3 linked regions of the Coturnix japonica genome follow. The main gene of each other region encodes a partner of the protein of the gene in region 3 in a complex. Links are inferred from orthologs where the notes say so. Each region holds a gene or a part of one and is shown on either strand. Other genes may lie near its edges.

Region 1 (4,278 bases), on a different chromosome or scaffold from region 3:
CAGTATTGCGTTCATCTAAATCATTATTTTAGTCTCAAGTTTTCTAAGAATAATAAGGTGAAAGTTTCATACCCCACGTAAGGTTGTGAAGTACTAAAACTTGAGTTATTCTGTGTGTTCCGTAATCTTACTGAAAACAAGGAAGCTACGCAAGCTTAAAATTATGTATTTATATGAGTCTTTGCAATTATTGGAATACATCTTTACATGTTTTCTGTAGAAGAAAATTGTCTTCAGCTTTTCAGAGAACTCTACATTTGCTGGCATTGGAAGATATAACCAGATGCTTACCACTTTTCTGCTCTTTCAGAAGTACGCTATGGACAGAATTGCCATGATAAAGGTTAAAAGTCAGAAGCACACAAGTTCTGTAACTAAAGAAAGCCCCTGAGGGATCCACCAAACTCAGTGCTTTGTCCTGACAACTCTATTTCTTCCAGTTTCCCTGTACCTCCTGTCAAACCATTAGCACACAGACAACCAGCTCCATGCTGGAAAGAAAATATTGAAGTTGAGTGTGAAACAGCACTTATGTATTCATCTAAATTAATTAGCCTATGTGTCTCTATGCCTTTCTAGTTTGCTTGATTGCAATTTGCTTTTAGAAATGGTTTTACTCATTTGCAGCACTCAGGCTGTGGCTATCACATTAGGTTTCATCTTTGTCATCACAGCCTTGGATAGCGACGAGGAACTGTGCATAACAAAGCTCTGCCAAGTAAATCCAGTGAGTGTTCATTTGTTCCCTTTCCTGGTTTCCCAAAAGAAATCCTTGAGAGTAGATATTTAGTGGGAAAAGAAGCCTTCAATAAGCCAGCCCTATAAAGGTGACCTTCCTAATACCCCCTTATCAGTGGTCTTTGTGCATAGCATGTTTCTTGGTGGCTGGCAATGGCAGTGATCTAGCAGCCGGCCCTCCTTGGCCCTGTCTTTGGGAAAGCCCAGCAGCAGGTAGATTTACGGATGCTCCTGTAATATACAGAAGGCCCTGCAGGAACACAAGGCAGCTTTCCTTAGGTTCCTCCAGTACCTGCAGAGGCAGCACCCCAGTGTATCCCTTATACAGATGTGGAGTCCTCTATGCTGCATCCACCACAGCTACAATGAGAACAGACTATGGACACGTGCAATACAAAAGAGAACAGAATCATTAAATCGCATAATGGCTTTGGCTAGAAGGAACCCCAAGGATCAGGTTCCAACCCCCCAGCACAGGCAGGATTGCCAACCATCAGATCAAGCACAAGATCAGTCTGCTCAGAGCCCCATCCAACCTGACCTTGAACACCTCCAGGGACAGAGTATCCACGCTCATTTTGGGCAGCCTGTTCCAGCACCTCAGCCTCCTCTCAGTAAAGCAACTCCCCCGATATCTAATGTGAATCTTCCTTCCTTTAGTTTAAAATCATTCCCCCTGGCTGATCACTATCTACTTGTCTTACAAGTTGTTTTCCCTCCTGTTCCTGAGCTCCCTTTAGATACTGGAAAGCCAGAGTCTTCCTACAGCTGCTTCTTCTCCAGACTAAGTCCAGCTCCTTCAGCCTTTGTAGAAGAGGTGCTTCAGCCCTTTGATCATCCTGGCAGCTCTCCTCTGGACCCTCTCTACAAGCCCCACATCTTTCCTGTGTTGAGGGCCTCAGACTTGGATGTAATACCAATACTTGTAATACTTGGATCATACTGTTATTTCACAGTCCATTTCCACATGGAGACATAAAATCATGAATAGCCACAAGAAGCACCAGCCCACAAAGCCCAGAAGTAGTAAAGGTTTTCTCCTAATAGACGGAACATGGTTTAAAACATCCAGGTGAGAGCCCTCCAGTTTCTGCCACCTGAAAGAGCTGTTGGCATATTCCTACAGCACAGCAAGCACACGTTCTTTGGGGGCAGAGTTTAACTTCAGCCTTGTGCAGGACGCTGAGCACAGAACCAGTCGGCCGGCAGCTCCAGCCAATGGAAACCAACCAGCCTTCCTTCCTTCCCTGCAAACAGCAGCAGCCTGGGCGCTACCAGTTGCTCCCACCTAGTAGCCTTATTGGTAAAACAGAACCAAACGGGTACGGATGGGAGCTTGATTCAACCCGCTCGAAAGAAACTGCAATGAAGTTTCAATCCGAATGCCTGCGAACCAAGGGTGGGAATATAAGATTCAGAATGATTCCGAAATCATTTAAGAACGTTAGGCGCGTCACCAGTTGACCCTTTTCACCTCGGAGACCAAGCAAATATGTAGAAGTCACGACGGGCATCTTCGCAAGCACACCCGCTTGTTTCCTCACCGTTATTTCAACCAAACCCTTTCCAGAACTGTCACCGTCGAGGCACTGGAGTCACAGAAACCCCAACCGCTGGGCAGGCAGCCTGGTTCCCTGCACACACACACACACAGCCGCGATCACGGGTAGACCTTCCCGGCACCTGGAAGCGTTGTTCTGGCTGCAGCACGGATCCGTCCCGCAGCTGCCCCAACCCGCTGCCACCGCCCGGCCTGCCCGGAGCCGCCCGCATCCCCCGGGCGCTGCCATCTCTCGTAGCTCCGGCACACACGCTCCCGGGGCCCGGCTTTGCCGTGAGACCCCGGGGCACGAGGGCGGGCGGAGGGATGCGGGCGGGGAAGAGGCACCGCGTTTCCCCTCCTCCCTCCCGGCCCCGCTCTGCCCCGTGGCCGGCTGCCACCCGCCGCCTCCTGCTCCGGTCAGGTCGGCCCGCTCCGTCCGCATCTCCCTCCCGGCCCGCTGGCCCCGGGGAAGCCGCTCCCGTGGCCGCCCGTTAGCGCCCCCCTCCCCTTCCCACCCGCCCACCGCCGCTCACCGCTCACCCCCTCTCGTTGCCGCGCCCCGGGCCGTGTTGTGGGGGGGGGTCGCCGTCCGTGGGCACCGCGCGTGGCTCGGAGCGGCACCCGCCGCGGGCAGCCCCCGTCCCTGACCTACTTTCCGCCTGGCTTGCCACCCAACGGCGCACCACTAACCTACTTTCCAGCCAATCGCACCCTCCCCCGGACCAGCACCGGACGCGCCCGCCCGCCAATCAGAGAGCGGCTCCCGAGAGGCCTCGTCCAATGAGAGGCCGGCAACGGGGCAACGCCCGCCCTCTTGAGTGGAGGCCAATCCGCGGGCGCTCCTGGAGCGGCAGCCAATCGGAGAGCCGGCCGGGAGTTTTGATTCCGCCCCCCTCAGCATTGGGCGCGGTGTCCCGGATGTGGCGGTGGCGGGCGTTATAGTGGCCGGTCATCGCTGTGAGCACATTGTGTATAGTGGGTATAAAGGTGTTTGTAACAAGGCGGGTGGTGAGGAACTGGTACGTATTGCACAGAGATACGGTGGAAACCCAGTGCCCAGAGACTGTCATGGTCGGGGCTCTGAGCAACCTGACCTCACTGTGCCCCTGTACATCAAATAATAGAATTACTCAGGTTGGAATGGATCTCAGGGATCATCGAGTCCAACCACAACCCAACCATGCCACCCTCACAAGCCTCCATTCAATCCTGTCCCTGAGCACCACATCCAGGGATGGTGACTCAACCACCTCCCTGGGCTGCTGTGAACACCTTTCAGATACTATAAGAGAGCAATAAGGTTTCCCCTCACCCTACTTTTCCCCATCTAAACAGCCCCAGTTCCTTCAGTCTCTTCTGGAGAGACTCCAGCCTGGAGTTGAACTGGATGCCCTTTAAAAGTCCACTCCAACACAATCGACTCTATTATTCTGTCATCTTTTAGCAACCGTTTTACTGTTTGGATTTGGTTTAGTGCACAGAAGTTCCGGAGGTGGAGAAATCTCCTTGACTACTTCTTTCTCACAAGTCTTCATAGTTTTCATTGTTGTTTCTACCCACCTGTAGAAATCATCTTCCTGTTGCGTTCAGCCACACACTGTCAGCCTTAATGAGCCCAGTGACTGCTGTAGGGCTTGATGCCAAGAGTAATGATCTTTTGTTATTTCTGTAGGAAAGCAGCTTAGCAGGCCATATGTCATATTTCCCAGTAAATGATTGTTTTGAATTGTTTCTATTAATGAGAAATTAAAGGAAATAACAGCATCTGGTTAATCAAATTCTGGTTTTCAGCATATGATGTTGTATACCAATCCCATTCTGCTACATTCTTTAAAATAAATCTTAAGTTCAGTGCAGTAAAAATTTTTGTGTAGTTTAATAAGGCTTTTTATAACCAACTGTTACACCCTTTAAATTTCAAGGGTACAACGATTATCACCCAAGAGCTAAGAAATCACAAGTTGAAGCGAGTTCTACAGTCACCACAATAGAGTTTT
Region 2 (3,648 bases), on a different chromosome or scaffold from region 3:
TTTACATGCATGCACTGTAATTCTTATTAGGGAAGGTGTGTATAAATTGAATTGTTTTAAAATGTATTCTCTATATGTGGTTTTCAGCTTTGATTCTAGTGTGTGGTTCTGTTGTCAGAGAAGAGAACAATGAGTTTGATAATAAGCTGTTCACAATATGTTATATTGTGTAGCATGCATCAGTTATGAAGAAATGATGTAATCCACCTGTTTTGCTTAAGATTTTTTTAATCATTATCAATAGCACTGCTGTAAGAATTGTGTTTTTCCCCATTTATGCTTCTCAGGGGAGTTCGTCCCAGCTCCAGTCTTGGACTGTCCAGCCATCCTTTGAAGTGATTCCAGCTCAGCCACAGCTGGTATTTCTTCACCCATCAATCCCACCTCCCATTAACCCTCACCCTGCTGGGAAAAAGAGAAACGATTCCACTAACTACTTGCCCATCCTGAACTCTTACCCCAAAATAGCACCACAGCCCTGCAAAAGAGATCACTCCTTCGATCTAGAGGAACGTCAGGAAACCAGTTGCCGTAAACGACTCTGCACAGAAGCATCTAAAATGGATACTTCTCCTGTATCAAGGAGCACAGGTTTGTCTACTAGTCCTTTTTCCCACCTACCAGTAAGCTTTAAGGCTCCTCAGGATTCTAACCAGCAAAGTTCTTCAAGTTTGATGACAACTGGAAAATTATCAACTCTTCCTGGTTTCCACTGTGTTTCTGCTGACACTCCAAAAGTTCCAGGCTTGGCTTCTCTGTTGCCTTTTGGAACTCTACAGACGGCAAAGTGCACTCCTCATGAGAATGAGAGTGAAGCACAAACTACAATGCAGTCTGCGGTGTGGAGCCTGCCATTGATACCAGAAGAGACTTGCACTACCCCTGAGCTGCTTTTGCAACAGCAAAGTAAGTGCAGACGTTTTCAGAATACACTCGTTGTGCTACGTAGGTCAGGATTGCTGGAGATCACTTTAAAAACCAAGGAGCTCATTCATCAGAACCAGGTGACTCAAGCTGAGCTGGACAGGCTGAAGCACCAAACACAACTTTTCATAGAGGCAATAAAGAACAATGCTCCACAGTCATGGGCAGAGCTAGAAGCATCTTTAACAGGTTCAGATAAAGCTAATAGCAACCTTGAAGATTCCACTTATCCAAACATGTAGTAAAATGGTACATAGCTGTTAAATTATTCCTGTGCCTCCTATTTCCTTTGTCAAGCTTTTATTTGAACGTACTGAGTCCAAGATGTGTAAGATGGCATGACATTTACAACTTGTCTTTACAGCCAGTCATGGGACTGGGGCAGCACAGTGGGATCTTGACAAGATGAATACTCACTACTCCAGTGTGACCTTGAACTTCATACTAACTCTATACTTTCTTGAACTTCAGAAGCTTGGATGTGCTCTGCTGGCATGTTCCCATTCTTGCTGTGAGAAGACAGTCATTTGCAGAATTATGCAAGCAAGTTTCTTCCTATTTCCATCTTCAGATAGTCAGTTCTGAGAGTGGCATAGCAAAACAGTCCTCAGTATTGGGCTATCACCAGTTGCAAGTAGATGATAAAGAGAGTAGGTGTGAGGAGAAGAAGCTTAGCTTGGTGGGGTGATATGAGACTGCTGACTGTTGACAGAAGTCTTGCTTTTGGGGTTACACTTGTTCTGAATTAGTGGAGATCTGCTTGTGGTGAAGCAGCATTCTGTATTTATTGCAATCTTTGACCAAAGTGATGAGTCTTAGGAGCCCAGTGACTTGATTTTTGATGAGCATACGTTGGATTGTGATCTGTAAAGATGAGTGAATGAGAATTGCAAGGCTTGCACTGCAAGTATTTGTTTCAAAGCTGTATTTATTTGCACTACCCATTAGTGACTAAAAAGTGTACAGGGAAAGTGGCTTTGGATTTTCTTGGTAGAATGCAGAGGTGTTTTTTAACATAATGCAAGGAAGATACTTGTTTACCAGGGTTAATTTGGCAAGACTAGTTAAAGGTTATTTTATGTGTAAATCTTTTGTTTGTAAGGCTGAACTCCTCCTTTTTTTTTTTTTTTTTTCTGTGAAATTGTTCCGATCTTGTTCAATATCTTCATCAGTGATGCTGATGAGGGGATAACGTCCACGCTCTGCAAGTTTGCTGACGATACGAAGCTAGGAGGAATGGCTGATACACCAGAAGGTTGTGCCAGCGAGACCTGAACAGGCTGAAGAGTTTGGCAGAGAGGAACCAGGTTAGGTTTAACAAGAGCAAGTGATGAATCTTGCACCTAGGGAGGAATAACTGCATGTACCAGTACAGGTTGAGGGTGACCTGCTGGAAAGGAGATCTGCAGAGAGGGACCTGGGTGTCCTGCTGTACAGCTGGTTGTCCATGAGCCATCAGTGTGCCCTGGTGGCCAAGAATGCCAATGGCATTCTCAGATGCCTTAAAAAGAGCATGGCCAGCAGGTCAAGGGTGATGATCTTCCCCCTCTACTCTGCCCTGGTGAGTCCTCACCTGGAGTACTGTGTCCAGTTCTGGGCTCCCCAGTACAGAAAAGACAGGGATCTTCTGGAAAGAGTCCAGTAGAGGGCCACAAAGATGATAAAGGGCCTGGAGCACCCCTCTTTTGAGGAAACGCTGAGCGACCTATTCCTGTTCAGCCTTGAAAAAAGAAGACTGAGAGGGGATTTGATCAGTGTTCATGAACATCTAAGGTGCAGAAGGCAGAGGGATGAGGCCAGACTCTTTTCAGCAGTGGTAACAGGACAAGGGGGAATGGCCACAAACTGAAGCATAGGAAGTTTTGCTCAAATGTGCATAGAGATTTCTTCATGGTAACAGTGACAGAGCACTGGAATGGGCTGCTCAGAGAGATGTGAAGACACCTTCTCTGGAGTTAAGACCCACATGGATGCCTACCTGTGTAACCTGGTCTAGTTAGCCTACTTTGGCAGGGAGTTGGACTAGATGATCCTTAGAGGTCACTTCCAGCCCTTACAATTCTGTGAATCTGTGAGATCAATTGCTAAGAATGGAAAAAAAGGAGAGAAGTGAGAGGAAAAGGGGCATATTGGCTCACGGTAAAACAAGTCCTACCATCTCCCTTCCCTCCTTTTTGAGGGAAATTTAGTAAATGTGTGTACTTAAAAATAACTATATAAAAAGATGTCAACTTGGAAAATCTTACTATAAGTTTTATCTGCTTGAATTTGAAATTAAAATTATTTTCTTCCACATAAATGTATCTCATCCCTAACCTGCTTGACATGAAATGTAGTTAAGGCCTAACATCTTATTCAGTGTTATTAGCAGACATCTGCAGTAGTCAGTTGCAAAAGCTATTCTACAGATGTCAGTTTATCTGGACACTTGTGTCAGTCCCTTCAATAAAAAGGGTTTGTATGTTTTTTACCAGAGGCAGTCTATGTAAAAGAACTAAGAGTGTCTCCCTATGAAGGCTAAGAAATATAGATTGCTTATAGTGTGTTCATTTCCACTTTAAAATGCTTTCCAAAAATTGTGCCATGTAGATCACTGGGTATTTTGATGCTCTGATCACTTCACTTCAGATTCTTAAAAAGGGTACTTGAAATTATAATAGAACTCTTGCTAGTTTGTGGTTACACCCCTTCATTTTCTGACGCCTTTGGGAATCAAGATTAGAG
Region 3 (3,648 bases):
TTGTTCTTTGTATCTTTTCTCCTGCTTTTCTTTCTTTTGCTGCCAGTTCATTTTCCTGAGCTTTCTGGTGTTTAAAAAGATGTTGTAATTAAAAATAACAAGCAGACAAGATGGCAGGCCTCAGAGCCAAGTAAACAACGGCTAGATGCGTAAGGACCAAAATCTTGCCTGTGAAATCATAGATTATTTGAGAACAGAGCATATGGAAATTGTAATGCTCACAGTGTAAAAGCAAGACTAGGGAGTTTTAATACAGAACTCTCATTGTTATAATAAATTTAATTAAAATTGGTCTAAATTCTTTTCAGTGTTGCATATAGCTTAACACTTTTAACATGCAGTTTCTTTTTATTTAACTGCCTATTATGTTTAATTTCAGGCTCTTGATGGTTTTTTTTTAGCAATTATGACAGATGGAAATATAATATATGTGTCTGAAAGTGTAACTCCTTTACTTGAACATTTGCCAGTAAGTATGAATTCCTTTCAGTAATGTGCCAGTTTGTCTGTGGGTGATATTCTACTACAAGTACTAATAATCTTTGTTCTTTTGGGCATTATAGTTGGGCAGATGTGTACGGTATTCTCATGCTTTTGCACAAATCCTTGCTCCTGGTTTGTGTTCTACATTAAATATTTCCTTCGGATATGCAGAATGCAGCTGGTGCTCTCTTAGGCAGGATTAAGTATTACCAGACTAGCGTCAGTTTCTCTTCAACATGACTATAACAACAGATGTGACTATAGGAGGTCCTTTAGAGTTCACTCCCGTAGTGGCCTCTACATGAATCAGAAGAATATTGCTAAAGAGCAGTACCTTGGAATTTTTTTTAACTGTTTTTTTACTTTTGCTTATTTGCCAAAGAACTCTCATAAGAAATGCATTATTGCTGATTCTGCTTTTTAGGCTAGGTGAATACTTTGAGTTTTGTCACATTCACTCATCTTGAATTTTGTTGACATTGCTTGCTGCTAAGAAGTTACCTTTGAATAATATCACTAAGAAATGAGAAACATTAGGTCTCAAAGATGTAGAGTTACTGAGTGAAGCAGAGCTAGAAGAGATGGACAAATAATTGGTACAGGCAAGTTGTCTTACAGTGGTAAGAGAAGAATTGATGTAGGGTTGTAGGGAGGTGCTGCTTTTTGTTACAAAATGCTGTTTGGATGTGTTGATTGCCACTGACAGATTACAATGCACTACACCACCATTATATAATTTCTCGTTTAAATGCTGCTTTATTTACCACCCGGAGAGATTAATAGAAGTTCCACTGTACTTATATGTGCATGCATATCTGATGCATTCATGGCATCTTCATTAAATGATTCAGTGTCAAAGCAAATGAAAATGGTGGTTGTTTTTTTTTACCTGCAAAGTGTTTGCATGTAATCCATCAAGTGACGGTAATGAGTTAGTAATATTTCAGTGATCTTTTTCTGAATTGATTTTGTTTTCTTTCTCTGGAATTGTTTTGCACCAAAATAGTAACATTTGTGATCTTGTATGTCTTGCGTTATTTTAAAATGTATTAAATATTTCCCTTTCAGTCTGATCTTGTGGATCAGAGTGTATTTAATTTTATCCCAGAGGGGGAACATTCAGAAATCTATAAAATTCTGTCTTCTCATCTGCTGGAAAGTGATTCATTGACACCAGAATACTTAAAATGTAAGTATTTGCATTAAGAACAATCCCCTTCATGTTGTATGTGATTAGTTCCTTTTTGCAGTGCTGTGTAAGTGGAAGTGTGTAGATGAGACATTCAGAATGAAACGCACAACTTGAATGGAAACACTTTCATGCTGTGCTGTTCCTCTTTTCCCTGAAGAGTAATTTTGTGTTGCGCGGCATTTCACTCTATGACTTTGTTTACATAGCTTCTATTTAGACCATTCTAGCAGCTGACAAGAATGAAAACAGGCCATGAGTGTTGGAAGGACATAAAGTTACGTTTTGGGCAGATGCTTGTTTAAAATGGTTCTATTTTTTTCACGGGATCTCTATGTTGTTGACATTCAGTCCTATCACACACACATTCCAAATGAGTTTTCCTTTTCTTTAGCTTAGCTAATATCACGCTGGCTAAAAGCAAAAGCTGTAGTTACTCGTAATCACCACATTTACAGCATCACAGTAAAGCGCACAACTTAATTATTCCTGCTTTCAGTTTCTTGTTCCCTGTGTGTTTCATCAACCACGCAATCTTTTAATTTGTTTGCTCTTTTTTCAGCAAAAAATCAGCTAGAATTCTGCTGCCATATGCTGCGAGGAACAATAGACCCAAAAGAGCAACCTACATATGAATATGTAAAATTCATAGGAAATTTCAAGTGTTTGAATAATGGTAAGTAATTTCAGTCATATTAGAGTGGAATACTTTGGGAGCTTCATATGTGAACAGGCTTAGGATGACAGTGCAAAACTTAAGGAAAAGCTAAAATCGGTCTTTGAAAAGAGCCTGAAACAGAGTTACATCAATTTTTTCTTGTTTTAATGAAAACAAAGTCAGACGGCCCATCAGATATTGCACATACGTGCATTTGTAGGCAAAATATTCAGTCTTTCAGTTAAAGAAAGCTGCAAAACATTTTTAAACAGAGCACGAGAGAAATTTAAGTCGACACTTTGAAGTAAGAGCCTGAATTAAGTATAATCTGTATTTAAGCAGGTGGCTAAGTTACTTCAGGATCACCAATACTAAGTATCTGCTGTTCTCATCGTTCTTAGTGAGCTGACAAGAAAAATGCGTGTTCTGCACTCCTCCCCCCGCAGTTTCTGCTTTCACAGTTACTGCTCAGATCAGTGGACGGACTGTTATAGGATTTTGCTTTTCTGCACTGAGTGACCTCTCTCATCCACTGAACTTATTAGTCATTATTCCCACTTCTGTACTACAGCATCTTAAGTTTGCTTGCCTGTGCAGAGTAGCTTGTGTAGCACATCTGTTTGGTTTGTCAGATAGGTGGACTGTGGGCTGTGCTCAGTATCTGATGCTTTAGAAAAGCTAGAAAAACAGGTCTGTAAAGATCAAATATGATGATAAATACTGATCCATTTGAGTTGTGATGTGACTGCCGTTCTCCTCCATGCCTCTGTAGTAACCTTTGCTGACCTCTTCTCTGTCTTCCGTCAGTTCCCAATTCAGCACACAATGGTTTTGAAGGAACTATTCAGCGGTCGCACCGGCCTTCATATGAAGACAAAGTTTGCTTTATAGCCACAGTTAGATTAGCTACACCTCAGTTTATCAAGGTATGCACTTTTATATCATATCAGTTTTATACATTTTTAACCGTACTCTGAACAGGAACACTTTAGAGAAAATGCATAGAGCACTTCAGATAATATTGATGGAAATCATAAGGAGTTCTGTCATATGAAACTGAAAATGTCCATATTTCTTACTACGGGAGTACTGTTGCAAGTTCCTGCAGTAGCTGAAGTAAAGATTTAGTGTATTCTGTGTCCTATTTGTAAAGCCAAAGTAAGGTGACCATCTTCATAATGGTACTTCTTCCCCATTATAAGCATGTACTGCTTGTACCGCTGTGCTTGTAGACACTGAGCATGAGTTTACCAGCTGCATTTAAATCATCTGAGTGTCGGCCTCACATGGCTGATGTTAGATTCTACCTCAGTGCTAT

What was found.
Region 1: the proteins of CLOCK (region 3) and ARNTL are in contact, whole or in part, in a crystal structure (PDB 4F3L), measured with the Mus musculus proteins. The link is inferred for Coturnix japonica from reciprocal best matches to the Homo sapiens genes CLOCK and BMAL1. Residues at the interface, in NP_001276755.1 of Mus musculus: Arg46, Gln49, Phe50, Leu53, Ile54, Glu56, Leu57, Met60, Leu61, Pro62, Lys70, Ser71, Leu74, Gln75, Ser77, Ile78, Phe80, Leu81, Arg82, His84, Lys85, Thr88, Glu95, Ile96, Gln98, Asp99, Trp100, Pro102, Phe104, Leu105; in XP_030097882.1 of Mus musculus: Lys70, Met71, Phe74, Ile75, Glu77, Leu78, Ser80, Leu81, Val82, Asp93, Leu95, Leu98, Arg99, Ala101, Val102, His104, Met105, Lys106, Leu108, Arg109, Gly110, Ala118, Tyr120, Lys121, Pro122, Phe124, Leu125, Asp127, Asp128, Glu129.
Region 2: the proteins of CLOCK (region 3) and CIPC are in contact, whole or in part, in a crystal structure (PDB 5VJI), measured with the Mus musculus proteins. The link is inferred for Coturnix japonica from reciprocal best matches to the Homo sapiens genes CLOCK and CIPC. Residues at the interface, in NP_001276755.1 of Mus musculus: Gln519, Leu526, Lys527, Leu530, Arg533, Ile537, Asn540, Ile541, Arg543, Gln544, Glu547, Leu548, Ile551, Gln554, Leu555, Val558; in XP_006515773.1 of Mus musculus: Asn401, Thr402, Val405, Leu406, Ser409, Leu411, Ile414, Thr415, Thr418, Leu421, Ile422, Asn425, Thr428, Gln429, Leu432, Leu435, Lys436, Thr439, Gln440, Phe442, Ile443, Thr446.

Annotation. Positions count from the first base shown.
Region 1 is NC_029520.1:11,919,974-11,924,251, forward strand, and holds the start of ARNTL (aryl hydrocarbon receptor nuclear translocator-like protein 1), read right to left. Parts: upstream 2,933-4,278; 5' UTR 2,815-2,932; intron 1-2,814. UniProt on the Homo sapiens protein: Transcriptional activator which forms a core component of the circadian clock.
Region 2 is NC_029520.1:35,437,941-35,441,588, forward strand, and holds part of CIPC (CLOCK-interacting pacemaker), read left to right. Parts: intron 1-287; coding exon 288-1,166; 3' UTR 1,167-3,648.
Region 3 is NC_029519.1:58,711,415-58,715,062, forward strand, and holds part of CLOCK (circadian locomoter output cycles protein kaput), read left to right. Parts: intron 1-379; coding exon 380-469; intron 470-1,551; coding exon 1,552-1,672; intron 1,673-2,234; coding exon 2,235-2,348; intron 2,349-3,137; coding exon 3,138-3,256; intron 3,257-3,648. UniProt on the Homo sapiens protein: Transcriptional activator which forms a core component of the circadian clock.